Drosophila melanogaster: one gene and its partners. The protein of the gene in region 2 interacts with the protein of the main gene of each other region in a biochemical or structural test. Each region holds a gene or a part of one and is shown on either strand. Other genes may lie near its edges.

The links.
Region 1: of the proteins of Krn (region 2) and rho, one has a biochemical effect on the other in vitro, tested with the Drosophila melanogaster proteins (2 studies listed by BioGRID).
Region 3: of the proteins of Krn (region 2) and ru, one has a biochemical effect on the other in vitro, tested with the Drosophila melanogaster proteins (one study listed by BioGRID).
Region 4: of the proteins of Krn (region 2) and rho-4, one has a biochemical effect on the other in vitro, tested with the Drosophila melanogaster proteins (one study listed by BioGRID).

Annotation. Positions count from the first base shown.
Region 1 is NT_037436.4:1,461,791-1,470,252, reverse strand, and holds rho (rhomboid), read right to left. Parts: upstream 6,443-8,462; 5' UTR 6,123-6,442; intron 4,788-6,122; 5' UTR 4,767-4,787; coding exon 4,431-4,766; intron 3,764-4,430; coding exon 3,346-3,763; intron 3,214-3,345; coding exon 2,900-3,213; 3' UTR 1,309-2,899; downstream 1-1,308.
Region 2 is NT_037436.4:17,648,130-17,656,193, forward strand, and holds Krn (keren), read right to left. Parts: upstream 6,152-8,064; 5' UTR 5,863-6,151; intron 2,498-5,862; 5' UTR 2,404-2,497; coding exon 1,750-2,403; 3' UTR 1,433-1,749; downstream 1-1,432. Other genes in the region: Ndfip (Nedd4 family interacting protein), read right to left, coding at 312-1,115; CG7484 (uncharacterized protein), read left to right, coding at 6,559-6,597, 6,653-6,771, 7,089-7,467.
Region 3 is NT_037436.4:1,368,341-1,374,241, reverse strand, and holds the start of ru (roughoid), read right to left. Parts: upstream 3,615-5,901; 5' UTR 3,362-3,614; intron 1-3,361.
Region 4 is NC_004354.4:11,597,598-11,606,380, reverse strand, and holds rho-4 (rhomboid-4), read right to left. Parts: upstream 6,544-8,783; 5' UTR 6,295-6,543; coding exon 6,055-6,294; intron 3,139-6,054; exon of another isoform or gene 3,045-3,138; coding exon of another isoform or gene 2,502-3,044; exon of another isoform or gene 2,487-2,501; intron 2,307-2,486; exon of another isoform or gene 2,187-2,306; intron 2,070-2,186; coding exon 1,708-2,069; intron 1,646-1,707; coding exon 1,303-1,645; intron 1,244-1,302; coding exon 935-1,243; 3' UTR 93-934; downstream 1-92. Other genes in the region: CG2533 (uncharacterized protein), read left to right, coding at 2,502-3,044.

The DNA of each region.
Region 1 (8,462 bases), about 16 Mb from region 2:
TTGATTCCGACTCCAACTCGCACTGGCACTGGCACTGGCACTCGCACTCGCAGTTGCCGCCGTCGTCTGAGCCTGTCTGACCTCGTCCTCGATTGCTGTTGACATTGTGCCTGAATTTCAATTTGATGTCCACGAGGCGGCAGCTCCTGTCTACCATAAATCTTGCTCCTCAAACTGCCTAGACTCTCCGGGTGCGTTTCGGATGGGATTGGATTGGATTGGATTGGAATGGATTGGATTGGATGAGGTTGGCTTGTCTGTCTTCTTGCACGGGCGTTGGGATTTGGGAGTTGCAAGTGGCGGTGAGTGTCTACTTCGTCCCCCAAAATCCGAAGGCACTAAGCTTGTGCCCCATTTTGGAGGCACATCTGCTTTATTGTGTTGCTGTATCTCTTGTATCGCCCATCGCCCGTAATTGTATAATTTAAGCGGAAATTAATTGACAGGTGCAATCATTCAGCTCTGATTATGCACAATTACTAATTGCAGTTAGCGGAACACAAAAAAGATGTTCTTAGTCTATGTGAATTGTATTACTTACGTACATTTTACTGTTTCATCCAAGTGTTTTATTCATTTTCCGATGTAATCAAGCATCTTTGATTTGCCAACGCTTCCTTGATTATGCATCATTAATAAGTGAAATATTGGGGGATTATACCCTGTACTTTTTTAGTAAAAGAGTAGGTTTGTATTTCTTAAATTAGGTGGGAAGTACAGGACTAATTGAGAATATCCTCAACAATTTCGATTAGTTGTACTCGATCAGCATGTTTCTGCTTTAGTTTTCTATTAAGTGCTTATTGCTAATAGGTATGCATTAGTCGACTAAACGCAAACAGCTGGCAAATGTTTTTGGTTCGCTTCAAGTCCTTCGAGTTGAATGCCGATTTGGAAATTCATGGACTTAGTCCTGCTAATCCAGTTGGATTGAATATAATACTCGCATGAGATGTGGAATCACAGACAATATGAATTATTACAAAATGCGTATGCTGCGCCTTCATATTTCATATTGGGGCAACTATCGATTGGTGGCAGTGGCAACATTCGAGTGGGAAAATTCGTTGACACAAGTCTTCTGCGGAGTGGGTATTAATTAAGGATTTTCTTCGAGTCTTAGTTGTAGTTGCAACCTTTCGCTTTGAATTGCCATATTTATGTGGAGCAAATATTGATTGGGCTGCCCCCCAAAAAACTCATCCAGCAGAGGATACATACATACACAAGCTCAACTCGCCCTGAGTTATTTGTGAAGAAAACGAGAAATTCATATATAATTTAGACATTTATTTTTGTTCAATTTTTCTCTCCTTATTTATTTATCTATAATTTTTTGCTATTTGCATTTCTTCTGTCCCTTGTCTCGTGCTGAACATTTCCGTTTCCTAGTTTGTTTTATTTTATTTTTTTGTTTTGTTTTTTTTTTTTCATCGGGTGGAGTGTGGATCCATTATTTTGGAAAATCGAGTATGCTATCTTGGGGTTTTGTGGCCCAAAAGGATTCTATTTTGGCTTACGCTTTGCTGGCCTTTATGCCAGATTAGCTGTTTTCATTCGGCGATTACTTTGAATATTTCTCTATTTGCGTACGATATATATATATATATATGTATATATATATGTGTATCGGTCAATATGTCAAGTATCTTGATAATCTGCTGGCTCGATTATTTATTGCCCTTAAATTGTGGGAATTAAAACCAAGCGAGCCGACAGCCAAAAACTGAAAGTAAAATAAAAATACAAAATGGGAAATGAAAACGCTTTTGCTTGTATTTTGTTATTACTGTTGTATTCTTGAAATGTTTTGATTTTTTATTTTCTTTGGCTTTTCGTGTGTATTTTTCAATTGGATATTTTTACAGTTGAATTGGTTTGTTTCTTCTCTCTCTTGTGTTGTTGTTGTTTTTTCGTGCTTGTTTGTGTGAATTTCACTAAATTATTAAATAAATAAATAAATAAATAGTTCGCTCAATTGACGAATTAATAAACCCTCGCTGCCCTACCATAAATAAATATAATTAGTAATACTTTCGAGTGTGTGTGTGTGTGTGTGTGTGTAGGGGATTACGATGCTCGATTTTGTAACGCATTAAGTGACTTTAGTATAATTTAATTTAATTTAACTCGATTTGCTTAATTGATCTGAATTGAATGGTTCTTTGCTGTGGTTTTCCATATTTTTTTTGTTGTTTTTGCTGTTGCTGTTGTTGTTGTTTGACTAGTGTGCGACTTAATAGTATTTACAATTTGAAACAATTTGTTAGGAGGGCTAGTTATACCTAAATATATATAAATTATAACACTAAATCCTACAATTCGGAGCACATTATGCTTATGGATGTATAAACAATTTGATACAGTTTGCTGATGCTTCGATTCGATTCATTCGTAGTAATTGCGGCCAATAAATACATAATTTAAGAAAACAGACAAACCATTAATTGAAAACATGGATAAATCATTTAAATCATAGCGAGAGGCGATTAGTTCTGTTTCTCCTCTTTGATTTTCCTCTTGATTTTTACTTGGTTTTTACACGCGAAATAAATTCAGTCTTTGGTTCTATCACAACATTTGTTTACACGTTTCGGCTTCGGTTTATGTTCTCCTCACTCCTCGCACTTTCTTTTTGTCCAGTGTATTTCTCTTGATTTGTTTTTTTTTTTTTTGAGTTTGTGTACTATGTTTCGGAACTGAAACGTTTAACTGCAAACGGTAACGATAACGAGATAATGCTAACGAAAAGCAAAAGCCAAACGAATATCGAATTAGTTTTGAACTAAATCGTTGAGTGAACTTTTCTTTTCCACCAACTCTCTGTCTCTCGATCTCTCCTGAAGCTCAAGCAGATTCCGAATCCCTGCGAGCATGCTGACGACTCCGAACCTCAAACTTAGGACACTCCCAGGTCGTGCAACAGATGCTGGGTAATCACCTCACCCTGCTCCTCCATCAGCTGAGCGGTCACCGTGTTGATCAGGTTGAAAACGATGGCGAAGACGGTGAAGGCACAGTAGACGCCCAACGCTAGCCACCAGATGAGCTGCTCGTACTCTCGGTGACCGAAGTTCTTTAGCACCAGAAAGCCGATCGTTAGTCCTGCCAGGGCTCCCGTCAGGTGGGCAATGTACGACACCTGGGGACCCTTGGCGAAGGCGCTTCCATCGAAGTATTGGGTGTAGAGAGCATAGCCCAGATCGCAGGAGACTGCAAATGGAAGAACAGAAGGGATTCAAGTTAGTTAAGTTAAACATAGAAGAAAAAGATGTGACAAATTCGTGTTTAGGTAGGATAGATTAGGTTCTATAGATTCTAGTCATAAGGTGTGGGGAAACTCACCAAAGATGACAACGGATCCGAGTTGCGTGGATGCGCTCTTCATGTGCGCATAGTTCAGTGTAATGTTGGCCAGATGTGCGGCCAACAGGGCATAGACGCCACCGCTGGCGCCCACCAGGAAGACCTCCGAGTCGACGACACTGGTGCCCAGGGATCCGGCAAAAACGCCCGCCATGTAGATCACGCCGATCCTGGCCGTGCCGTGCATCACCTCCAGGGGAATGCCAAAAAACAGCTGGATGACGATATTGAAGCCCAGGTGGAACCAGTTGGCGTGCAGGAACATGTAGCTAAAGAAGCGCCACACCTGCAGACGCCGGTCCGGCCGATAGACCAGCACCGAATCCGACGGAATCGGAACGGGTAGCCCGAAATTCTGGGCGGGCATTGTGTAGCGGTCGTAGGCGAAGATGGCAATCTAAAATGGACAGAGACGCAAAGAATTGGGGGTTAGTTCTGGGCTCTCGCTCTGATTTATGTTGTTGCTGTCTGGCACGCGACCACGTTCCAAATAAAGTCTTATGAGAATGCTTAGGGGCGAGTCCTGCCAACTTGGCAGGGCTTCAAACTCACTAAACTCATACGCCCCGTGGGCCGCCCTGTTTATTTGATATTCGTGCTAGTTTCTATACGAAGCAAATTATTTCCAATACGAATGTAAGGGGTCATGTAAAAGTGTATTGTTTATTTTAAACTCAATGTTCCAAGTTACCAATTTCGCTATCAAACTAACTATCATTTCCATCTTCTCATCTTCCACTGTTTTTCACATGACAATTTTTGGTCTGCCCTTAAAAAATAAAAAAAAGAAAAAACTACGAACGGTCTGGTTTCATAAACTTTTCTGTTCGCTTTTTTTCCTTCGGCTGTTTTGTTGTTCAACTTGTTTACAATCGATTTTCGGGGGCGCCAGCGAGTCAGACGCAGAAAACGAAACACGAAAAGCGAGGAAAACTCTCGGAAAACTTCCGCCCTTCGTCGCCGCTTTCCGCCCCCTATATCATTTTTATCGCTCTTGGGATGAAAGTTTGCGGCTTCTTTGATTTAATGGGTTGAGTTACTGAGTTCGCTGTGTGTGTGCTTACCTCAATGATGGAGATCACTAGGATGAACCAGGGCCAGTGCTGGCGGTGGACGTACTTCAGCAGGCCGATATCCTCCGACTCCGGAAGTGGCGTGGCCGGGATGGCCTCGCGTTGCATGTAGATGTGCTCGCCTTGGCGGGTGCAGCAGGTGCTGCTCGCCGTGCTGCAATCGGTGTCGTACGACGAGGAGTTGGAGGAACTGGAGCACGCGGCGGGAATGTCAATGATGGTCTCCTTGGCGGCGGTGGCATGCTCCTCCTCCTGCGACGCCTCCTTCTCCTTCTCCTGGCCCAAATCCACCTTGGTTTCGTTTACATTCTGCGTTAAGTTCTCCATGCTGGCGCCGTTGAAGAAATTCTGGAGAAAGAGAGGAGCGCATAAAGTGTGTAATTAATTAACTTGAACCGAACAATAAACAAAAATCAATTAAGTGCATAAGTTATTCATAAAACGCAGCACAAAACAAGAGCAATTACAACACTTCAGAAAAACCAGAGTGTGTGGGGAAATGCAGCAGAAATAAAAGAAAAGCGAAGGAAAAGCCTGCTTCTTTGTGGGTAAGAATTTTGTTTATGGCCTGGGACACGGATTCCGATGCCTGCAACTTCCTGGCTGCTTTTCCCCGAAGGGAAAACTGGGTCAGCTTGTGTGAGCTAACCATAAAATTTGATGGGCCAAGTTTGCTTTTGTGGCCCGAAATTAGCTGGACAAAATTGAAGATGTAGCTTGTGTAGCATCTACGCCGTTACATAAACTGCACTTTCAGCCCTGAAATCATCTTCGCTAATGGCCAACTAATCAGCTAATGGCCAGGCATTATTGTAATTCATTGCCCAGAGACATTTCCTCACAAATTATGTTAATCGCATTCGATTCAATTACAGTCACAGCACAAATCTTCTTAAATTCCCCAAACAACTGTTCGTCGCAACAAGGAAAAAAAATAACAAATTCATTGCCTTGCTCAACAAAAAAAAAAAAAATAAACTTAAAAAAACGCGTTTCTCCCACTCACACTCATTGTGTTCGCATATGCCCCCTCTCTCTCTTTCGCCTCAAGTCGCATTGCACACACGCACCGTTGTTGCTTTTGTGTCTGCTACCTACACTGCTCGAAAAAGTGAGTGGGTGCCGTGCCTTGGCTGGCGCTCTTTTCATGTTCTTCATTTCGGTTGCCTAGCAATTTCAATAAGGCACGAAATCGCAGTCGGCCGCTTATTAATTAATTTATTTATTAACTTTAATTGCAGACTGCACCGAATGTCCATGCGAGCATGAAGAAGAGATGTCGAAAGCGGGCTTTAAGACATAATGAATTAATTCATTCGGCCTTCTTTTCATCATTTCTTTCTTCTCATTTTTTTTTTTTGTCTGTTTGGTCAGAAACATAGTTTCACATGGCCCGCGGTGTAATTTGCATTTTTTATGCTTTCTGCTGCACTCGCACCCCTAAAAAAAAAAACGGGCAAAGGGTGCGAGCGAGAGAGATAGAGCGAGCGGGCACACAGGTTGAACAAACTCATTACGCCTCTAAGTTGAAATGCTTTTGTTTTGCCGCTGTGACAATTTCTATTGCAATTTGCACATTTCTTGCATATCCCTTGTGGCTTGTAGCTTGTATCTCGCAACTCATATTTTGTATCTTGTATCTTTTAGCTCTCGCGCATTTTCTCATTAGGGTCGGGGGCTTACCTTAGGTTTTTCTGCCTGTCGCAATGTTTATAATCCAAAATGCGTGGGTTTCTTGTAATCCAAATGTCTTTAGTTAGCTGGCATATTCGCACGTTTTTCACTCGCTTTTTTCGGCTCGCACATTGGTAACTTAGTTTTGCTGCTCGTAAATCCAGGAGCTTGTATTCAGATATTCTTGAGATATATATTCTCTGCTTGCACCCACACACACGACAATTTGAATATTTCTTTCTTTCAGTTTCAATTTCAGTTTCGAGTCGCAGTCCGACTTTCTCAGTTTGATGATCTCGCGCTCGCGGCTCGCACGCAACTGACTTTCGAAAGGCAAGGCAGCCGGCCTTTATAAGTGCTCGCTGTGCGGTGCAGTATAAGAGAGCCACTTCGAACATGTTGTGTTTTGGTTCGGCCGTATAAGTGTTGCATGGCACATCCGGATCTTGTCTTGTGTGGGTGGGTGGGGTGTGCGCACTGCAGTCACTCGACTGCTGCAGCTCGAGGCGAGCGGTTCGAAGGTTTTTCGTCGCTGGTTATTCACTGGTTTCCCCCATCTGCCGCCTTGCCACATAACGGTGAATGACTCATCCAGACGGGCCAGCACTTCTTGCCAATGCCACTGACTAACAAATGCGTCGTCTTCTGTCTTCTGTCTTCTCGCCGATCTCCAGCGATCTGCGCTTTGTCATGGCCTACTACGCAGATCTGAGCTCTAATCTCTGCAATGTTGCGAAATTCTAGCAAGGCCTTTGCGTTTAATTGCCTTTCAGCAAAACCGACTTTTATCTCATTTTATATTATTACTAGTAATATATATTAACGTACTAGAAGAGGTTTAAGCTCATTTTAGTTGTATTTGTAAAGGTACCAAGTCCATTGTTTTGCTGAGTTTCCCGTCGATGCCTTTAAACAAAGACAAGAAAGTCAAACAAATTGTTAACACAATTAAAGATGATGAAATCGGTAGTAGCAGTCGCTTTTTCTTTAGCTCCGCACTTTCGAATAGTTTCCAGAAATAACTTCAATGTCACAATTGCTCACAATGGTAATGTAAATTAGTTTCTAAACTAAAAAAACTAGCAAAACTATTTGCTTGCTTAGAAATAGTTTTAAAATTCCTCTATTGATACGTAACCGTTCAATAGCTAAAACATTGCTTCTATAATTCTGTTGTTTTTAAGGGAACGTGCCACTGCAAGTGGCCAAAAATGCAAATAAAGTATATCGGCTCAGCAATGCAGAACATGTCATGGAATCGAATTCGAAACCGAGCCCCGTCCTGATTCCCCTTGATTCCCCGATTCCCCGTAGAAGATCATCATTGTCAGGGGTTTCGAATTTCACACCTTTTCCAGCGAGAGCTCCCTCGGAGGCGTTGAGCGAGCAGATAGAAATCGGTAGCAAAAATAAATATTTATACAAATTATTAGGCAGCCTGAGCCGTTGCAGTCACGAGTTCGCGGGAAAGGTCACCACGGCATGTTGCACAAAAGGAGTAGCTTTCGGCTTCCTGGCCGAAAGGATCGAGACGACGTGGTTACGTGTTTTGCATGATAAGCTGGGAATTTACACAGATCTAATAGATAGATATACCCATCCTGGCCAGTCATCCTCATCGGCGGCATGAAAACTCCCGCATGAAAAGTGAAAATATTTTCACTGGGCGCAAAAGAGAGGCGAAACAGATTCAGAGTCCTCGTCCTCGTCCACTGAGATTTATGATGACTTTTTAACATGTGCGTGCAACAGGTAAGCAGATACGAAAACACAGTTGCTGCACTACATGCCCATGACCAGGCACGTCATCAGCTCGGAGTTTCTCAGCTCATCTTCATCGTAAATCCTTTTTTCCCACGTTCCCTCAGGTCGAGTTCCTCCATCCTCCATTGCTGCGTTTTCATTGTGCCAGACACGCATTGCCAGCACTCCACGGACATGGACCCACTGGCACTGGCAAGGTCAGCCACCGTACCAAAGCAATCTCAGCCACCCAAAACACTCGAGCTCGAATTCAGGTAACCGAGTGGGCGTGGGTAGGACGTGGGCTTTTCCCACGCAGGACAGGACGTTGATTCCTGGCCCGTCGCCCGGGAATTTCCCCCAAAACATGTGCTCAACATATGCGAGTGCCTCATGGCATCGCGAATCAGGAAATTCCGCCCGCCACTTGCGCTTCCCGCCGCACAGCAAGGTGTCCTTTTTCCGCTTCCCAGAGTTTCGTTTCGCGACTTTTTGTTGCAGCCGCACTTGTCTTCCGCAAGTTGCGCCAAATGTTTCGCGATGTGTGTTTTTCCCACCGCATGTTTTCCCATTTTTCCATCCTGCCCAAGGATCTTAGCACTAATC
Region 2 (8,064 bases):
CTAATGCAATTTTGGACTTGCGAGATATCCCAATAAGTTTGTGACTTGAAAGTGTAGTAAACGGATATACAAAGTATATTTTTGAATAACATTACTTCTATTTTAAAGAAATTGATTGACTAATACATTTGAGGGAATACTTTCAAGTCCATAGTGATTTCGAGAACTCTGCAAAATAAGTTCGCGTTGATTTTTCGTGTGCTGGGTCTGGGGAATAGAGGGTGTTGGGATCGGTTGGTTGGTAGCATTCGAGCCTCCTAGCCACCCACAACGTATTTACAAGACGACCACTGGAAAGCCTCCAGGTGCACCTAGTAAAAGAATAGCAGCCGTTCCTGGGCAGAGGCGGAAAGGAGGCGCCACGATCGCTTGATGCTGACATACTGTATTAAAGCGCGTATGCTGATCAGGAAGCCAAAGGCACAGATCAGCCACCAGAGCCAGGAGTTTTCGTGCGAGGCCAAGTCCGTCGAGTGCTTCACGATCAGCGTCCATTTAGCCAGCGACAATCCGAATCCCGACAATGCTCCATATCGGGCGGCGATTGTGTGACAGAAACAGGTGAGCATCAGGAAGCCGATCCAGTTAAACAAAAAGGCCACAATGAAGGCCGTGATGAACATGATGTCCGTGCCGAGCAAGTTGTCGGTGGTGGACAGACTATTTTCCGGATCGCTGGCATCGATGGCGATGAACGTGAGTGCCGGCTGGGCAGATCGCACAGCAGCGGCTCCATCGCGCAGCGGATTTGGCGGCAGTAGCGGATTCGGCGGCGGCGGTAGCTGCTGCGAGGAGGGTAAAGTCAAAAAGGCGGGCGGCAGCTCTCCGTTCAGCGACTTTTCCATTTGAACCTCCTCGTACGTGGGCAACTTCCCGTGTATTTCTGGCGGCAGTTGTGCATTCATAAGGTCCGCCTGGCTCGGCAGCTGCACTTGCATCTGTATCGGGATCTGACTGGGATCGGGTGTGGCCAAGGCCAGCGGTGGCATCTGAGCCGGCAGTGCTACCTGCTGGCCATGGCCAACGTTCGCCTCGTACGGTGGCGGAGCACTGAAGTCCGCCTTTGGCGGTCCCAACTGATCATCCCCGGGAGACGGCTGGTTGTTGTGCGGCATGACTGGAAATTACAAACGGAAAACGGGAAAATTAATTCAGTGCTTAAGGGGTTACAAAGCATATGAATTTTTTTGACAGCCTAAGGTGACGTCTCAGAAAAGAAGATTCTTAAGAAATTCTTTTCTTTCTTACATACTAAATTTAAGATATCCTTATTTTCGTGTAGCTTAACAGATCAACTGTTTAGTATTTACATGCATCTCTGAAATAAAAGGAAAATCAAGGCCATGGTGAATTTTGTGCAAACTATTCCCAATCAAATTCTAAAGGTATTCGAAATTTGCATTATCTAAATTGAAAGTAAAGCTGGTGATTTAGTTCTCGCTTTTATTGACGATATTAGTTCACGCGTTTTTTTTTTTAATAAAATTAGGTGTATAATAAATAAATGGGCGGCTAGCTGCCAAAATTGCATTGAATTATATCTAGATTTATTTTTATCTCTCTCTGAGCAATCAGTTTTCGTTCGTTAATACTTGATCTAAATGTGTTATAGGCACGTCAGTAGGCACTTAGAACTACGGCATTCGCCATCTCAATCAGATGGCAAAAATAATAGTTTCGTTTAGCAGTTAAAATAAACAGTTGGACATGTTAGACATTTAAAAACAAATGAGCAGCCAGGCTAATTAGTTAGCGCAAAAGTTCGTTGCAATGCCTGGGGCGATTGGAGGCTTTCGCTTGAAGGTGGGCCTCCTCCAGCGATAGGATGCGGCAGGGTCCAAAGGGACGTCTCACTGGACGTAAGGGTCGCAAGCCATCCACCTCGTCCATGCCCTCGTTCTGACAGCCACCGTCGGTCGTTGTGGTTGTGGTGCTGTCGTGCAGCTTTTGTTTTTGCAGCTTCTCGTGTCGCAGATACAAAACCACACAGCACATGGCCATAAACAGAAGGGCCAGCGTTGCTCCGCTAACAATGCTGGCCTTCTCTAGCATCACACGGTTCCTGGTTGGCAGGTACGAGCCATCAATCTCCTTGTACTCGCACCTCGGACCCATAAATCCCAGCGCACATTCGCAGTTGTATAGGATTTCATTGTGGATCTTCACCGTAAAGCAGGTGCCATCGTTCAGGCAATACCAGGCGACATAGGTCGGTGGACAGGCGAAGATCGGGAAGGTGACATTCGGTCTCGGCGTTGTGGATATTTCCACATTATCCGGCGGCAGGATCGGTGCAGCTGTTGGCCGCGGCTTAGCGATGGCACGCGAGGAACAGGCGGCGGTGAGCGGTAGGTAAGCGCCGATTAAAGCGGTGGCAAGCAGCAGCAGATCCTGGGCTCGCATCTTGATCTTAACTCATGGCAGCTTACTTGGGAATGTGGCAATGCAGTTTAAGGTGTTTTGTAATGTGGAATTCTTGGCTTTGGCTGGCAGGCGGCTGCAAAACAAAAACGAAGTGCAATTAAAAACAAATCAAAAATGTAAGCTCGTGTTCGGGTCTGTGTGGGTTAATTGCCTGCCTAGCACCGCCAGCCGCCTCCTTCTCACAATTACAACCTATGCTCCTCGACCTAAGTGAGAACGAGAAACAGAAAATCGAATTTCATAAATTTTTAACAAAAAAATGACATCGTTTATTTACCTGGCCGGAATCGCGAGCGGAACCCAAGCGGCTGTGGCATTTGCACAGCCTGCATTCATTATCAATTGGTTTTTCTGTTTACACTCTCACTTAACATAGCGAACACTTCAGGCACTTCAATATATAAAAACTGTTTAATACAAGATGTATTTAAACGTATAAAAAATTGATTTAACCTTAGGATTTCGAAACGCCTTGTTATAAACAAGATCTTTTCCGGAGAAAGAATGAGCTTCATTAGAATGTAACTGATCCCGTTGCGTATATAAACAAAATAATTCGAATGATCAACAGAAACAACGATGTTGAGTAATTCTGCTGAAACAAATACATCATTTGTAAGCAACATTTGAGTGGCGACCATTTGAGTGGGCGTAAAAAACATAAACAAATTAGTGCTCGCCTTAGTTGTGATCCACAATAACAGTGTCGTTTTCAGAAACACTAATTTTCGGAATTCCACTTAACGTAAATTAAAACTTTCTAAGTGCTTTCAATAAACGCTAGTCATGCCAACTTAACTGTCTAAATTTATATTAGGAAATATGTCAGTGAAATTGAACTATTTTTTTATTCAAACATGCAATATTACATTATTAATCAAAACTAAAGTTATATTCTTCTACTTGGAAGTGAAGGAAAGAAGAGCGAAACAGTTGCAATTATAATAAATATACACTTCGTTTTAAAAAGTTTTGCTTTCGTCACCTGTTTGGATGTTAGCACATTAAATCTAATATTTGTACTTTATTTCAAACAGTCAATTATATATAAGATAGCATTTAGCTTTTATTTTCTAGGACTCTCGTCACTAGTCGGAATCTCAATCCACAGTCGCGAGTCCTTGGACTAAACCGTGTCCAATTGCTTTGTAAAGCTCAACGGAGCCCTAAGCCCCATAAAATTTCCCCTTTCCTCCCATCACATGTGTGGCACGCACCTACGTCTAAAAATAACAACAACAAAGCTCACGAGTGAAAGTTGACAGCTGAAATGGCAGGAGAAGAGTGCGAGTGCGAGTGCGAGTAGGACAGTGCGACAGTCGCAAAACACAAATGCAATTAAGATGACCTTTCGGTCAATTGAAATATAAACGGAGCCAAACGAGCAAAACAAAAATAGTTCAAGCCAATAAAGAAACTGCGTGAGTGGGCTTAAGTTGGCCCTAATTTCTGCGAGTGCATATATGGGTTTTTTGTATAGTTTTTTTTTATATCTGTGGGTATGTGGGTGAGCCGGACGTAAGCTTGAATAATGAGCTAATAGGCGCCAACGAGCTAAATGAGCACCTGGTGGCTTATCAAAAATTGACCTCACAAACAGCAGAGTACACAGAAATAAATTTTGATATCATATATGATATGATTTTTGTATCAGAATACAAAAGACTTTGGTTTCATATGCACTCAATAATTACTTTTGTATACACACTTTAAAATACTTCAATAAATATAGGAAAACATAAACAGTACTATTTGTATAATTAAATTTAGAGGTGTCCAATTTTTTTCGTGCGCAGGAATATCTAAAATCACAGTCAACACAGAGAAACCGTATTGATAAGGTGACAAATACCATCCACAGGTGCGGAAAGCAAGTGGATGCTAGGCAGTAATTACAGTTACCTGTGGATGAGTCAGATGTGCGGGCATTTGAAAAATTGCAAAATTGCACGAAACCGAGAGATTGCACATTGTACAGTTGAACTTATCTGCGTTTTGCCAATACATTTGGTAATATCATTTTAAATAAGACTCTATAGTGACACACAAAGATTTGGAGGATTTCACAATCAATCCCAATGTAAAGCGACTTTGCTCATTCTTATTTTTTAAGAATTCACTAACAATCGGGCTCAAGTACACTTATCGTTAACATGCTTCAAAGCTGGCATATAATTATTTTCAATGTAATATATACATATAAAAACTTAGGTAAGGTTCTCTGGAAAATACACTGGTTTTTCCATTGAAAAACAATAGATGTTTAAACCGAATAAATCGATTTGCTTTTAATGCGTATGCATTCGGCTAAAAATAATTTTTGAATCTTTAAAATAAATAGAAAAGCTTTTACATTTCTAAATGTCAACACATATGGAATTACCTTTGAAACAGATGAGAAATTTTGTGCAAAATATATACATATTTTTTTTTAATAATTCCATCTGGATTTGTAATTCCAAAAGTGTTTTTGTATCTAACAATATACAGTATTAAAAAAACAGTATTTGGTATCTATAGAATAATATGTGGTTTGTCATAGCCAAGTTTTACTGCGTATGCGTGTATGTAAAAATAGGATTGGAGAGGGAGTTAGAGCTCTCGAGAGGGAGAAAGCAACAGGGCCGTGACAAAAGGCGTTGGAAATTAGGGAATTGCCGTGGAAAAGTAACAACGCAGTTTGGGCCAGGTTTTGGGTTTCAGCCGGAGTTTGTTCGGTGATAAGAAATTTGAGCGCGTGGACAGCTGCCAAGCAGCAGGTGTGCGCAAGGGAGAGGGCGATAGAGGAGGCATCAGTGGAATAAAGCATAAAGTAAACCAGTTAAACGGGACCGGGAGCACAAGAGAGAGGATGAAGATGCAAGCGGAAGAAGCTGAAGAAGATGCAGATGGAGCTGTCTGAATGGAAGGTCTCTCAAGGGGCAATTTCCTGGATTGAATGAAAAACACACAGGCACCGACAGCTGCAGTGGTATTGCAGTGGAATAGAGAAAGAATAAGATTAGGAGCGAAGAGGGGAGGCGGTCGACTGCGAGAACGAGTTTCCAAGCAAACGGCGCTTGTTGTTATTGTACAAGGGCAAATGAATTAATTTACTTGAGTAAATATGAATTAAATAAACAAGTACACCGACACAGGGGTAGACTTATCGGAGTGTGCACTTTTTTTTTTAGCGTTTAGCACCTGAGTGGCGAAATCTAGCAGAATTAAGATTATTAATGTGCTAAACAAAACATAAACACATGTACACACACAAACGCACAACTGGGGCTAAAGTGCTGAGGAGGGGGAGAGAGAGCCTTAAATCTCCAGGAGTGCTCCTGTAACGGTTATTTGTTTCCCTTTCTTCGCCCTTTCTTTTCACGTCTATTTCTGTACCCGATTTTAATTCGATTTGATTCTAGTTCGCCTTTTCTATGCCATGTTCTATTTATTCACCTTGTTTTCTTCTATGCGTTGGTCGATTGCGATTGCGTTCGCTTTTCTCTTTTGCGCAGCGCTCTCTCACGTTTCCGTTTTATTGATTTTGTTCGAATTTTGTTGACTTGTTGTTGCCAAACACGCACACAGCTAATACTGTTGGTTTTTTGGCAGAACTGCGACAGTAGGCGTTTCGCTTTCAAGTGGCTTCACTATACGCAATTTAAATAATTTAAAACTGGGCTCACTTCGCGAGCGAAGCGAAAAAAACAAATGCACCACCACGAATAATCTTCGATTTCTGAGCTAGTGGTGGCCAGCTGCTGGGCAGTCCGTATCGATTGTAGGGATGTAAGCGTGATAAGCTATCGAATCACATGAAATTAGTTATTAACATCGGAAAATAAACTTGCGTACTTGAATATAAAAACCTGAAATTATTTTGTACACTTTTATAGTGACAAAAGTTTCAAATTGCTGAAAAAATATCAAGAAATAATAATAATAAGTTTATTAAAGCTGTTCAAAAGTTTGATTAATTGTCTAATTCATAAACAGTATACGGAATACCCTAAACGATGAAAAGACAAGCAACCCGAATATAATCGATAAGCCTAAATAATGTTATTTTCCCTTCTACTCATCACTAAGCTAAGAAAATTTTGTAAACAACGACGTGGACGTAGTAAATTTAATTAGAATTTAGCCACAAAAATGCATAAATGTGCTATATTTCTTCTACTGGCTTTAAGTGTAAGTTATGTCTGAAGCTAAGACATGTTTTTAATATATATTTTATACCCTACAGTGCCAGCAAATTCAAGCCGAATTGACGGCCGCCGACTGCCGGGCGTTGGGTTTTATTAAGGCCCAGTTAATGTGTTCCAGTTGCGAAAAACTGGATGATTTCGGATTGGATACCATCAAGTGGGTTCAATAACATTTAATTAATCTAGCTTTGGAGTTGTAAAGATACCCATGAACTATGCTATAATCATTCCATAAGAAGACCTGAAAATTGTTTAATTAATATGTTAATCTAATTAGATCAGGTTAAATTTCATACCTCATTTTAAATATTCCAACCAAAAATGCTTAGCTTGACTTAGTAAGCTCCTCCATACCACTGACTAAATATGATTCTTCCTTCAGTTTTTAATAACAAAAATTATATTAACTTTTTATAGTTTCTGCTTGAGCCCATTGCTCTTTTTTATTCATCCAAAACATTTTTAACATTTCAGGCCTCAGTGTAAGCAATGCTGCACTTTGGATCAGCAGCCGGCGGCACAGCGGACATATGCCAAGGCAATTCTGGAGGTGTGCACCTGCAAATTCCGGGCCTATCCGCAGATTCAGGCCTTTATTCAAAGCGGCCGACCTGCCAAGTTCCCCAACCTGCAGATCAAATACGTAAGAGGACTGGATCCCGTGGTTAAGCTCCTAGATGCCAGTGGCAAAGTGCAGGAGACGTTGTCCATAACCAAGTGGAACACAGACACTGTCGAGGAGTTCTTCGAAACGCATCTGGCCAAGGATGGTGCCGGCAAGAATTCGTACAGCGTGGTGGAGGATGCCGATGGAGATGACGATGAAGATTACCTGCGAACCAACAGGATCTAAAATAAGCATACCCAAAACTGTAGATTAATAAAATCCGAAACAAAACTATAGACCGTACCATTTTCTTTCAAAATCATTGAATATTTATATTTTGTTAAATATATTCTGTTCAAGAACTAAAAATGTGTAGACGTGAGATTAGTACTCCAAACTTCTGGGATGTCAAGCCACTGAATTTAAAAAATATAAACATCAAGATCAGGGATATACATAAAATTGGCTTGTAATATGAGAGATCTAATCTAACTAAAGAGATTTAGTTTTTAAAAGTTTTTAGAGCCACTGCAAGGTGGCGTGAGCTTTTCTACGCGCCACCGCGGAAAAGCTGTGGACACAGTTTGAGAGTAACTGACAAGCCAGTTACTGCAATGCGACGCCGTGGGAGTTTTCGATTCATAAGTATAAATTAAATCATTTTATTTGTTATCTTGTTATCGATGGCAAAGGAAAGTTCCCGGCTGAGGCAACAAATTCGCGGCATTGTAGCCGAAATTCTTATCGCAAAGACATCACACCACACCACACCCCCCCCCCCCCTTTGTGGCCGTCAGCAGTGACGTAGTGGGCTCACATGGTGGGGGTCCTCAAGTCGATCAA
Region 3 (5,901 bases), about 16 Mb from region 2:
CTTGTGATTCATATTCCGCTGTTGCAATTGCATTTGTATTTGCACATTGCGCTGGTTAGGCACTTTTCCGGCCGAAATACCACCCTCCCCCCACCACCCTTCACAGATACGTCCCTGTTCTTCCAACTCCAAGAAGAACCCCCCTTCTGAGTTTGGTGTGAAATATTTACGTGTAGACAACATTCCACTAACTGCAGTTGCAATGGCAACTAAAGTTCCCGTCCGGGCGAAGCAAACACCGTTTTCCACTTCTCCTTGGCATTTTTACCCACATTTATTTTCGGTGCATTTCCGCCTGCCATTTGCCAGGTTGCCTTATCCTACCTGAGTTTAAAAATATAAAAATAAATCTGAGGGAAAATGGTTGGCACTGCAAGTGAAGTACCCTGGAATTGATACTGCAAGCAATATATGTACTAAGATATGAATAACAACATCTAGTCGCAGTATAAACAAACCAAATATCATTTTAATGACCAAAAGTTTGAGTTTTCCCATTGAATAATTACGTAGCTTCACTTGCACCATTTTCCGAGCAATCCGACTGGTCAAGTTTGTGTAGAAACCCACACCAGATGCATGTGAATCCCAATAGACTTTTGCACCCTTGGCTGCTCCATCGAGGGTATTTGGTAAAAGGAGTTCCTGCGCTATTCATCTGCGCCTTAGTTCGAGCATAAACATTTCCTAAACTTTTATCTAATTCAGCAAACTGCAGCAACAACGTCAGCAGCTTCATCCATTTTGCAAGATTCCCAAGACATTTCCACATTTTCCGACTCATTGTTCTTGTTGTTATAGTTATTGTGTGCTCCATCTTTGGACTTTTGTTTTTCTTTATTTATTGTTTTTTTTTTGTGTGTGGATCTCTTTTTTCGCATTTTTAGCGTGTTTCAAGTTGTTAGGCATTCAACTTTTCACATCGCTGCTCTGCTTATTTTTTGTTTTTCCGCCGCGAAGGTTTTTCCTTCAGCCGACTGTGTGTTGTTTTTTCGGACTTTTCGTTTCGCGTCGGTTTTGTGCAACACACACACACACACACGCCACTCGAGTTCTTTGTTTGTGTCGCTTTGAGACTTTGGGGCGCCTCAGCGTGGCGGGGGCGTGGCTGGTCGGTGGGCAGTGGGGGCTGGCGGGGGTGCAACTTCGAATGGTTGCATAATCCGGCAATTTCTTACGGAATTTATTCAATTTCTGAAGCACTAACTAGCAGCATATATACTTGTTATTTGAAAGTTAAATTGATTAGCTTAAAAGTTGAAAATATTTGTTAACATTTTTGGTTCAGAAAAGCCTAGTTGCACAACAATTTTTTACACACTATTTCGCTTCTGCACTGATTTATGAGCTCTATTTTGTATGCGTTTGTGCGAGTGAGTATCTCAAAGATACCATCAATGTATCTGTATCTGTATCTGGAGTGTGTGCGTGTGCACCTTGGCCGACAAGACAAACTACAAAACTGCTTGAGCCATTGTCTTGCAACAGCTCAACTTGAAATGTCTGCCTAGATTAATGCGAATGCGAGAGGGTCTGACACTAATGAAGGTCAAAGGTGATCCAAAAGGGAAGAGCGGTGAAGGGGTGAAGGGGTGAAGGGGTGGTGCGGAGGTGGAGACAGCTTAAGAATGATTAAACACTATAAACTGTTGACTTCTGCGCTGGAAAATGGGGGAGAACGACACAAATCAGTTGCTGAATTTAATAGCAGTCAGAAGTTTTGGCCAAATTTAGTTCAGCAAACGGAAGCAAATGGTAATTAAAGTCTTACAACTTGGATAGTAATTTTAATTCACAGCTTTCCTTTGATACAAATATGACTTGGGAAACTTTTTTTTACCATATATCTTTAAAACTTTTTCACTTCTGCACACGTTAGTAAAAGAAAAGTGGCCCGAAAATGGGTAAACAAAACTAAGCCACCCTGAAATCAGGTCTTTGGGTCTTTTTTCGACTTTTTTTCATTTTTTTTTTTTGTTTGTTTCGCTATATTGTTTTTATTTTCGGCGTTGCCTCTCTCACTCTGACGCGTATAAAAGCAAACTTGACACATTTAAAAACTATATATTTACAAACAAAAAACGAACAAGAGACACGAAAAATTAAAATGCATTGCGTATGATTTTTTCAAGAATAGCCAACGCATTAATTTTTTCGTATTTTCATGCACTCGACAAAAACTTCACCAGTGACAAAAGCCCAAGGCAGCCCCAACTCCCCTGTCATTTTGTCCATGATTTGTGCATCTGAAACGGATCTTGGTTTTGATTTCCATTTCGATTTCGAGACTTTGGCACTTTTATGTTTAGCAAAAGTTTCACGAGAATAGAAAAATTTCGGAAAGTGAATAAAATTCGCATCGTTGCGATTGAATGAAATACTTTTCGAGGCTGCGTAAATAAATCAAAGTGTAAACAAAAGTGAGCCAAATGTGGCGTCTTCTCGCCCTGGAGACACACGAACTTGGTGGGTTTGGTGGCAAGATGGATGGCCAAACTGGGAGCTCCGAGGACCGCCCACACGCACAGACAGACCCTCTCCATCGATCGTTGGCCACTCCTGCCTACACGCACATGGGTTTCCATTCGAAAAGAGACAATGGAAATCGAATAGCCAACCAACCAGTAGCTAGCTGGCCAAGAAGTTCTGGCCAGAAGTTGGCCAGAAGTAGCACTTGTCCGAGATCCCACAAAAGATATCGAAAATGGAGCAGGGCAGCCCACACATACATATATATATAAAAACCGGGTGACCCGGGGGAGATTTCAACGGAAAGTGCTTGCCATTTGCTGACAGCTCGGGCGCAAACGGTTTTTAGTTAAATCCGCGCTCCACGTTGCGTATACGCAATGTGCGACTGGTGGCTGGCTGGGTGGGTGGGAGTGGTTGGTAGCATTGCAGTTGGCCCGTTGCAAACGGCAGCAAATACGGATGCCGAACGACAAGCACAGATGTTTTTACAACCCAAAAGATACAAAGCAGACAGAGATACTGATGCTGAAGCTGCTGCCGCACTGACAGATGCAGATTTACATGCACTGAAAACAAAAACTGCGATGGCTAACTAATAAGATTGGTTTCTGTTATAAATAGAGGATGGATATTAACGGCAGTAAAAGAGAATATTATATATTCAGTGCGATAATTTTTCGCACCATGAAGTACACCTTTATTTTTTGCAGTGCTCGCTCTAGTCAAATACGTTCAGCTCAGCATGGTTGAGTTTGGAGCTGAGTTTTGCCAAGTTTTAAGCCGATGGATTTATTTTTTTGGGGGGTTTTGCCGGGATCTCCGTGGGTGAGATATGGAATAGATGGGGGATTGAGAGTGGGAATCCTAGGCGGGGGGTGTTATGACTTACCGAGGGGGGTGATGAAATGGTTGACTCTTGTGCAGGCCATCCGGGGGGGGCAGGATTATGTGAACTGGTTGCAGCTTCTATTTTTTATTTCTTTCGAGGATGAGCGACAAGTTACTGCGGCAGTCGATCCGAGCAGTAAATGCTACGAACGGTACGAATGTTCGGTGCTTTTCCACTAAGTTTTTCCTCGGTGGTTTTTCTCTACTTTTCCAGTGAACCGTTAGTTGCGCGTGCTGCCGCCGGTTGCCGTTACAAAGTACCGTTCACAACTGAGCTCGTTTTTTATGCGGCCCGATACTTTTATAGATTCGCAAAGTGCCGGCCTGGCCAAAAACCGAAAGGGGTAGAGCCTCCTTACCGGAGGGTTTACATGTGCACAGTCCGCTGTGTTAGTTGTGCGTGTGTTTGTGTGTGTGTGCTTTTTTTCCATTTTGCACCCCTTTCGAAAAGCCGGCTCTTGCTGGCCAAGGTAAGAAACCCCCCCCCCCCCCTGCAAACCGCCTCCCCCTTTTAAGCCACCCTTTTGAACAATAAAGCCAGGTGCAGCAAACATGTTCGAGGTTCGAACGCGTTGCCAAGTTTTCCTTTGTCGTGGCTTTTTGCTTTTTTTGGCCACCATCCGGTGAACGGTACACGCAAAGGAGTCACGTGAGGAAGTGAGATGGGGCGAACGAGTGAAAGGGAGAGGGATAGCCAGGAGCCAGCTGGCTTTTACCGGCAGCTGCAGGTGCGACAGAGAAAGTGGAGAGACGGAGAGCGAGAGGGAGACAGTTGCAGATGCAGCCGCCGACGGATAATTAACAAGTCACTTATTAAGTTAGCATCTTTGTCCCCTTAATCCATTTGTGAAACAGTGTTTTCCCTTTTTGGCTAATTAACTCAATTATTGCATTACCAAATGTGAAACAATTGGGGGAAACAAAAAAAGCGAGGCTTATGCCTCAAATTATATCTGGCCAATGTTTTTTCGTTTGCAAACTGATCTTGGTACTGTAAAAAAGTAAAAGTTTATGTATAATTAGATAGATTTGATAAAAAAAACACCCAACGTTGATTTCTTGCCCCTGATAAATAAATCAAAGCACTTCGGTCGCAGCTGCTGTTTTCGCCTTGTTTATTGGGTGTCAATAGGTGCATCCATCAGATACAAGACACGAGATACAAGATACAAGACACGAGATACGAGCTACCACCAGCCACGAGATACTTATTTATGTGGGCTATCTCTGGCATCTCTTGGGACCAGTCATCTCTTTTGTATCTGAACTTGTTAACATATCGAGTATAATTTTGATGTGTTGTGGCCTCCTTCCATTTCCCAGCTCAAATAGCAAATAGCAAACAGCAAACATCGAAAGGGCCCAGATACACTTAACAATTGCAGAAACATCTTCATCAAATGGGCCTCATTCTGCTGCCGCTGACAGCTGATGAGGGCGCTGCCCGACCCTTTGTACCGCCCTAGCCCCCTCTCACTCCCACACAGCAGCTATCTCGCTCGCTCGCCCTGCGAATACCACCTCGAATCGCGCAGATTGGATTTGAATTGACTTCAAGATGAATAAGGTGGCAGTTGAATAGGGTCTATGGACCCCCTTTTTTTATGAAATTAAGGGTGCCAAGAGGATAACTGTTAATATAATATAGGGGTGCTGTTTGCAATTTGAATTAAATGCAAGCTAGTTACTATAAAATAACTAAAACTAAGATTAAAGTTTCTTCCACATTACTAGATAGTTAATATGAAGAAGGTAGCTCGATAATAAATTAAAAAGGCACCAAATGCTTTGGTTTAAAAGTTAGCACTAAATACTAGCAACGACTAAAAAGCTTATAATTAATATCTTGTGCCGCAAATGTTTTTCCAGCGCGACCAAAGAAAACACTTTCAATTCAATTCCATTACGCGCAGTCGTAAAATAGAAAACACAGGATAAACATTTGCCCATAAAAATTGCATGGGCTAAAAAGACAATTTTTTAAGCTGTCATTTTTTTCGTGTTTTGTATATTTTTTTCCTCGCTCATTTTCACTCTTGCCCATTTATTTTTTTATATTTTCTTCAACGTGTTTAATTGCACAAAAAAAAATGAAGAAAATGAAACGAAAACAAAGAAAAAATCATAAAAGCCAAAAATAATACACACAAAAAACAAGGTGAAAATATTGCGCAAAGCAAAAATAAAAAATCACAAAAATAACAAAAGAGGCTACAACAAAAATCAAACAAATTCAAACAGCCAGCGAAAAGCAAAGGCAAAAAGCGATTTATGCAAAACACAGATAAGCCGAAAAGTACAGGAAAAAAAAACAAAGACGATTAGGCGATTTAACGCACGCAAAATAAAATCCAATAAAATGTGATTACGGTTGGGTGGAGGGATGGAGGGGGAGCGAAAGGGACGGGGCGAATCGAACAGATGTTCGAACAACAAAAACATCAAAAATAACAGTGACATGCAGTGACGTAGGCGATGAAATTTCGGGGGTTTTGGGGCAAAAGCAAACACCTGAAATCATTGAAATGGAGGGGGGTTGAA
Region 4 (8,783 bases), on a different chromosome or scaffold from region 2:
AGGCAAGATCAAAGTTGTACTCATTACATTTGAACATGAATGACACAATTAAAAAAATAAAAATCATACGCAAAACACCCATCTTCTTCGTACAAAGACATTGTTTTTATTACATTTAAATATATAAGATCTTAATAATAAATCTCCAAAAATATACAGTACACTTTGTTTAAAGATATTTCTCGTTTTTCTTGAAAAAAAAAAAATGTCAACGAAATGTGTAATACAAATGCAGCTCTGAGTTTTGTTCTCCGTCGACATTTCGTTGCGCCGCGTCGCGTCATGTGGATCGAGAATACATATAGTAAAATAATTTTTGCTTTTGAGTCGAATAAATGATCCGTATTTGAACCGAAATGAATAAAAACTTCGAATGAATTCGCTTTGCGTTTTTATTGATTGAATATCAGCTTAAGACTGAAACAAATGGTGTGAGAAAATCTTAAATGTACTTGGTTAGTGGGTTGTTTACTTGATCTGCGCGAGAGCGCTTCTTGCTTATGCTTTTGTGCATACATATGAAAAAGAATTCTTATGTGCTACGTGGCTATGTATGTGCCTGCCTAGTGTCTGGGTTTTGGTTACGGCTTAAGTGGATGCGCAATATCGAGTAACAAGGAATCGATACGGCGGACCACCGCGGTCGGTCTTTTGTATAAGAGAATTATGAGGAAGGCATAATTACGTTACTATATATGTATGTATGTATATAAATATATAAAAATACGTACGACATGCTTGCACCACTTTCGGATTGGGAATGAAGCTGACATGGCAAGTTGTAAAAAAATAAATTATTTTTGCAGCTGGCATAGGCACATGGTCAGAAGAAATCCTATATATAGTACTGTGCGTACTGCAACCTCGGCTCAATATCGAAGTGCACTTTGGACATGGTTAAGGGTTAGGGCTAGGGCTAGAGCTAGTGATGGGGCTAGTTGTACTCCTGTTTTGGGAAGTAGTCGGGAACAAACACGTGTATGATGATGCCAGTGGTCATGAGGGCAAAGTAAACGATGACGGCGACCCACCAGAGAATGCGCTCCCATCGCCGCACCTCCAAATTGCGCAGCACACCGATCCCCACCAGCAAACCGGCGACGGCACCGGACAAATGCGCCACATAGCCAATCTGATCGTGCTGGTCGGTCAAGTGGCGGTACACCGAGGTACCCAAGTCGGTGAAGCAGAAGACCAGAAAGGCCAGCAGCTGGACAATGGCGTACTCCATTTCCGAGTAGTTCTGTTTGGCGACCATAAGGTAATTATGGAATAATATCAAATAGTATAACAAAGACTTACCATAATTATCGTGGCAATGTGGGCTGTGATCAGTGCGTATACTCCACCCGATGCGCCCGCTAGAAAGATGCGAGGACTGGTTAGCGAGGTGCCCATGGAACCGGCTAACACGCCAGCCAGGTAGACCAGACCCACGCGCCACCAGTGATGCACCAGCTCCAGGGCGATGCCCAGAAAGATCTGGATAATCAGGTTCATCATCAGATGCATGATGCCCACGTGAACGAACATGTAGCTAACAAAGCGCCATCCCTCATAGCGCTTGTACGGATTGTAGATGAACAGGGTGGCCGCTGGTCCACTTGTGCTCTCGCCTATGCGATCCTGGTAGTTGGGATCGTCCCTGAACATAGCAGATTACTAGTGTTATTATCATATACAACCAATTGTACCATCACTACTCACTGGAAATGTATGACGTCCACGAGGAACATGATTATCTCGATAATCGAGAAGAGCACCATGGTGAGCGGCGGCGGGCAGATGGACATTTGCTTCTCGTAGGCACCGTCGGGCTCATCGCCCTCTAAGGGCTTCGGTGGCGGCACAACGTAGCGACAGTAGCGGGTCAGCATGTTGCGCACCATCCACTTGTGGCGCAGGGACATCGCATAGAATTCCTCGAAGTCCAGGTGGCCGTCGTTATCCTGATCGCTGCGCTTCAGGATCTGGTCGGCGATGTAGGCGGGAATGTCCCGGCAATAGCCATCCGAGATCAGTTCCTTCAGCTCGTGCGTGTTGATCAGCCCATCTCTGTCAGAGTCGTGCTGTGTGAGAGGCATATACATATGGTTGGTTAGTCATCATGATTAAGCTCACACATAGAATCTGGGTAAGTCAACATTTAAACACAGTAGGCCATATACTAAAGCGTCATGGGGGTTCGAAAACATTAGGGATTCGAACACTCAGTACCTAGCTGAAATTCCGAGTGGTCGGGCAGGCCCGCACCGAATCCAAAAAATCTTGAAATACAACATCTTGGAAACACCGATTACAATTGGGTACATATCAGCGCATTCATCCTACCTTTTAAAACTAGGCTGTAATAAAAATAAACTACTGAATACATTTCCCTAGAAGGAAGTAAAGAAACTACCATTTGCTTGGTGTCATCGGTTAATGACATAATTATTTAGTATAAACCATACATATATTATATATATTTGTATCTTCGCCTCAAGATTCAACCGAGAACGATGTCGCAACTGATGGAGATGACCCGCCACGTGACCTCTTGGCTTGGCTGGACACCGACGCCCACATGCGACGTCGCGGAGGAGGAGGAGCCGCTGCAGGAATCGTCCGGCATTGTGACCGTACTGGTTCTCTACCTGGGCATGGCCGGCATCTTTGCGGCCCTGAGTCTCTGCACCACGACCAGCGACGACCAGGTGCGGGCCCGGGCCAAGCGGGAACTGATGGCCATGGAGCGCCGCCAGTTGCAGCGTCTGGAGCGGCAGGGCAGGGCAACGGGGTTAACTCTGCTGCCAAACTGGACGACCGCCATGCCATCGCTTATTCGCGAAGTGGCTGCTCCTAGGCCTTCAGTCATTCAACTGGAAGAGCAGCGCTTGCGGATGCGTCTGCTCCAGCTAACGGATCAGAAGGAGCAGGAGGAGCACGATTCCCAGGATTGGCACGATGCTGTGGATGCGCCAGAGGAGGAGCAGGCCACCAGTTGCCTCGCCCCCAAGAGCCAAAATTCCACTTTCTTTGACCTTCCCTTAGACTCCGAATGAATCTCATTCACCCGAGGAACTATTCTAAATCATAGCGTAACACACTCAAACCTGCAGCATGAGTTCACAAATAAACAAGTACCCACATATTATTATGTTTGTTGAGTGATTTTCCTCCTTTTTGATTGCATCACCATCAGCACTTGCAACACAGCCGCGAACGCTGTCGGACCAAAAAGTGGCCATAAATGGGCAGGAATAAATGCCACAGATCGAGACGAGAAACTAGAAATCCAAAACGGGGCTAATCGAAAACAAATCGAAACAAAGTCACATGAAGTTGCACAAAGGCATCCAAAGTTATTGTGAACTAAACGCAACTGATGGTTTTTGCAAAACGTCAATAATCCCCATTGGTAAATACAAAAGGATTTTGCTAAAAAAAAAACATTTGTCACCTATTCCTTTCAGAAGTTCGAAATTCTCAATTGCCATTTCGCCAATAGAAAGTCCCTATATGGATGTTACTGTCTTATCGCTTTGTATTCTCGGTTTTCGATCATAAAAAACATTTGTCATAGGTAAGCTATGCGCACTGACCTTTTAAGTATGGTTAAGGTATTTAGTAAAGTAAATAACTAGGAACTGGGATAACAAAGAAAACCCAGCGAAAAGTCAACGCTCGCACTTAAAAGTTAGATTCACGCAAAAAAAAAGAGGAAAGACATTGGCATATACTATAGACAATTAGATAGGTGCCCATGTATGTACATGCACATAAATATGTATCCTCCTTTCCAGTCGTAAACTAATATTTTACACCTTTAGGTGTTCTTAAAATAAAACAGAACAGGGGGAAAAAACAAAACCAAAAAGTTGGTTATTATCAAAACCAGGCGATAAGCTGCCAGCGGTAACGGAGTCTCGCGGGGATTGGGACTTAGTCATAGTCGTCAAGTGTGTTCGGAACACACGAAAGCCACTTGGTCAGTTTGTAAAAAATATGGTTTTCGGAAAAAGTTAATTGTAAAACCATTGGAACACCTGAAGTTCCAAAACTTTCCTATATTAGCCAACAGACAACTTAAGATTTACTCTTTTGCACAGCTCAATGAATAAAAATATCAACGAAAATGGTCATCTATCTGCTATTTTCCCATATCAGAAAGACTGTTATCTGTGACATATCAAACATGATATTTCAAAAATATCAAAATGATACAGTCCCCTCCGGGTTCAAGTTGAACTTTCCAACGAATAATGTTGGTTGAGATTGGTGATTTTTTTTTTTTTGACAAAATATGTTCTATAGCTTGCTATTATTTTGGTTGTTATATCATGGCTAGATTATTGAATCAACGCTCGGAAAACCCAAGCAGAGTATTTTGGCCACTTGAATGTTTGTAGCGAGGGAATTCAGATAAGATTTCCAGCCAAAAGAGAATAGGAATGTGTCTGGAATGCCGATTTCCAGCGGCATCGAATGTGTTTGGATTGGATTGGCAGCTCATCTTGTATGCTAATCGTATGGTTAGAATACCTATATACATACATATATACGTATCTGTCCAAATCAACCAGGAGAGAGTGCTAACTAAACTGGAATCGAAGCGGCCAAAACTGATGGATTCGTAGATAGAATCCCCTTGTTGCCGGGGTACATTGAACGCGATATGAACGCTACACACTCTATATGGCTATAAACAAATGGTGAATCAAGAGGACGTTGCACGTTGAGGCAATCGCACTGGTAGAATTAAAAAAGACGAAATCCACAAATTGTTAAATTGATAATGGTAACACTCGGGCAAACAGGTGGGCGGTGGGTGTCAGTTGGGGGTTAAGTGACTAACGCCACCAAGAATAAAGCAAGAGCAACAACAACAACAAAGGCAGAACTCAAAGCGAACAAACAATAATTTATAACCGGTTTTTCTTCTTCTTTTTTTGCTGGTCTTTTTCCCCCAACCCTCTGTCACGATAAGAAAACTCAGTCCCCCAACAGTAGGCAACCACCCTCCCCCCCATTTTTTTTTGCAGCACACACGATTTTTCTACTTTAAGAAAACAAACTGCAGCGAAAAAAAGCTTATAAAATGTGATACGGAATTCTGCGAAAGTGCAAAATTGACTGACAGACAAGCGGTGATGGGTTAAATACACCGAAAAGTGTAATTATGCTTGTATGATATAAGTACATATAGCAGTTGATTATTTAGGCACTATAATCGAATTCTTAACCCATTAATGTTAAACGGGAATCAAATCTCACGTATTTATTAATCACCACAAGATACAAGGTTTTTTTTTAATAATGTATACCTTAAGTTTGTTCCACTGGCATGTTTGCAAACAAAAGCATCTGATCGTGTCGGTTTTCGCCCGCCGGCCCATTGAAGGGTTAAAGGTGGGGTTTTCTTGGGAGAGTGCGAAGAGTGAAGAGCGCCGCCATAGCGGATCGATGCTCAGATGATTCATCGAACTCAACTTTCACCGAGGGTGAGAAGAAGACGGCAACAGGGCCGACCACACAAGCACAAGCAACTTCATTCACACGCACGTATGAGTGTGTGTGTGTGAGTGCCGCGAAGTGCCGGCTGTGTGTTTTAATTACAGTCGTTCTTCTGTTTTTCGCGAATTTCCCATGCATTAATATGGTGCAATTTCACAAGATCTCAGCATTAACCTTCTGTTGCCTACCACCAGCCAGTTTAAATGGGATAATTAGTCGTAGCTGGTTCTAACTAATGAATTAACCACTATGTGCTCTCCAAAATGACTTGAAAACTAATAGAAATTTATTATTCCCTTACCTAAATCCTACATTTCCTGTATTCTATCCGATAATAATGTGGCATAACTATTAAATCAACGTTAAATCATCATAGATTTACTTTAAAGATATAGTGCTAAGTTGTAACACCGTGTGAACAGTAATACCTTTATAGGTATAGTTACCATGGCTACTACTTGGTTAGCTGGCTCTACAAACCAGAAAAGATCTAATACTTAGGAGGAGCTGCCACTTGTGCTGGGGAAGGGAATTGCGAGTATTATAAGTCCTACATACCTTGTCAAATATCTCGTGCATTTTGCGCCGATCCTCTGGCTCCTGGCTGTTCGTCTGATTGAGCGGTATTTCCTCCATATCGATGGTGTCCTGTCGCAGCGTTTGCGGACGCGAGGGGGGCGATCGTCGCTCGGCCGGAATCGTGGGATAGAGCCCATTCTCGACGTCCCGCTGCTGCTGCAATTGCAGTTGTTGGGCGGGCGTTTGGCTCTGCTGGCGATTCACTGTTTTCACGGGCATTTTTGCGGCCACTTCTTGTTTCGCTTTTCGATGGAATGCGACTGTTTGAATATCGAATTCGGAGAGCGGAAGTGCCGTTACCGTTAGCCAAAAAGTGAAATTACGGTGCTCATTGGCCGCGGTTTGATTTGATTTGCGATAAGATTAAGAGCGGGCCATAAAGCGCGTAGCACCTAAAAACAGCGGAGCGAACTAAAAAAAAAAATAACAACACCAACCGTCTTCTCGCACCAAAGAAACCAAACTGCGCGACTGTACAGTGTGACCAGCTGCCGGAGCAGCACAAGTGGCTCTCTACCCAGAATTTGTGCATAAAAATAATCAAATCCCGCATGCAACCCAATCTGGCAACGCTGAAAGGGAGTTAAATTTGAAAAAAAAAGTTAATGAATATTATTTATTTGGTCACTTTTAATAAGTCATTTATTTGAAAGTTTTTCTTTTTTGACTAGTTTTTTTTGTTTAATACTTTTATAACAATCAATTTGTGCTTTAATTTAAAATGCCAACTTGTTTTGTTAATTTAATATATTATATAATATATCCTAGGTAAGCCTATTTAAAAAATAAATCACATATATAACTGTTTCTTTAAGGATATCCGGCTCCTTTTTTTTTACTCCTACTATAGTTGTAAAATCAAAGTATATGCCACATAAATAACAATCACTATACTATATTCGAATTAAAATGCTATTTAATTAGTAATTGTATCAAGTGTCAAGACAGTTAATTTGAGAAAATCGTTTCCATTTATTTCCCGACCAAATGGGCAGGGATTTGACTTCAATTAGATTCTTGAAGCAACCCAGGCGGGATCTGAAAAATGTGGATTAAGGATTAAGGGTTATTGGGTAAAACGCAAATGAACGTATGTCAACTGACCTGTGCACGGCCAAAATAGAGGCGGTCTTTGAACCGATCCCTGGAATCTCCTGCAATTGCTTAACGTTTCCATTGTTAAGATGGCCCAGTAAACATTTAGTATTATTGGCCATCCAGGCCTTGGGCGCAGGTTTCACTTTTCGCGTGCGTTTCTTTTGGACTGCACTTTGAAGGCGCGTCCCGTTTTCCACAACAACGGAGGTGGCATGTTCCCGGATTCCCGCCAGCCGCGTGCTGCGCCGCAAATTCATAACCTTGGGAATGGCTCTATAGTTCTGCGAACGCATCCTACCCGCTAGACGTACGGAACGACGAAGGCATGGCTGCTGTGGCGAAGCCACTACTGTCTCCTCCATTAGCTGGATGCCGCTAAGTTCTCGCTGAGAACTGGATGCCCGCAGACTGATTTTTTTTCTTTAAAAAATATATTCTATAGCTTGATATTATTTTGGTTGTTATATCATGGCTAGATTAATGAATCAACGCTCGGGAAACCCAAACAGAGTATTTTGATGTTTGAAGCGAGGGAAATCGGATAAGATTTCCAGCCAAAAGAGAGTAGGAATGTGTATGGAATGCCGATTTCCAGCGCCTTGTGTTTGGATTGGATTGGCAGCTTATCTCGTATGCTAATCGTATGATCATACATACCTATATACATATATATATATGAATCTGCCCAAATCAACCAGAAGAGAGTGCTAACTAAACTAGAATCGAAGCGGCCGAAACTGATGGATTCGTAGATAGAATCCCCCTGTTGAGTGAGTGCGAAGAGTGAAGATCGCCGCCATAGCGGATCGATGCTCAGATGATTCATTGAACTCAACTTTCACCGAGGGTGAGAAGAAGACGGCAACAGGGCAGACCACCACAAGCACAAGCAACTTCATTCACACGCACGTATGATTGTGTAGGTGTGAGTGCCGCGAAGTGCCGGCTGAGTGTTTGTTTTTCGCCAATTTCCCATGCATTAATATGGTGCATGAATTAACCACTATGTGCTCTCCAAAATGACTTGAAAACTACTAGAAATTTATTATTCCCTTACCTAAATCCTACATTTCCTGTATTCTATCCGATAATAATGTGGCATATTCCGTCCGAAATCGTGGGATAGAGCCCATTCTCGACGTCCCGCTGCTGATGCAATTGCCGTTGCTGGGTGGGCGTTTGGCTCTGCTGGCGATTCACTGTTTTCACGGTCATTTTTACGGCCACTTCTTGTTTCGCTTTTCGATGGAATGCGACTGTTTGAATATCGAATTCGGAGAGCGGAAGTGCCGTTACCGTTAGCCAAAAAGTGAAATTACGGTGCTCATTGGCCGCGGTTTGATTTGATTTGCGATAAGATTAAGAGCGGGCCATAAAGCGCGTAGCACCTAAAAACAGCGGAGCGAACTAAAAAAAAAATAACAACACCAACCGTCTTCTCGCACCAAAGAAACCAAACTGCGCGACTGTACAGTGTGACCAGCTGCCGGAGCAGCACAAGTGGCCCTCTACCCAGAATTTGTGAATAAAAATAATCAAATCCCGCATGCAACCCAATCTGGCAACGCTGAAAGGGAGTTAAATTTGAAAAAAAAAGTTAATGAATATTA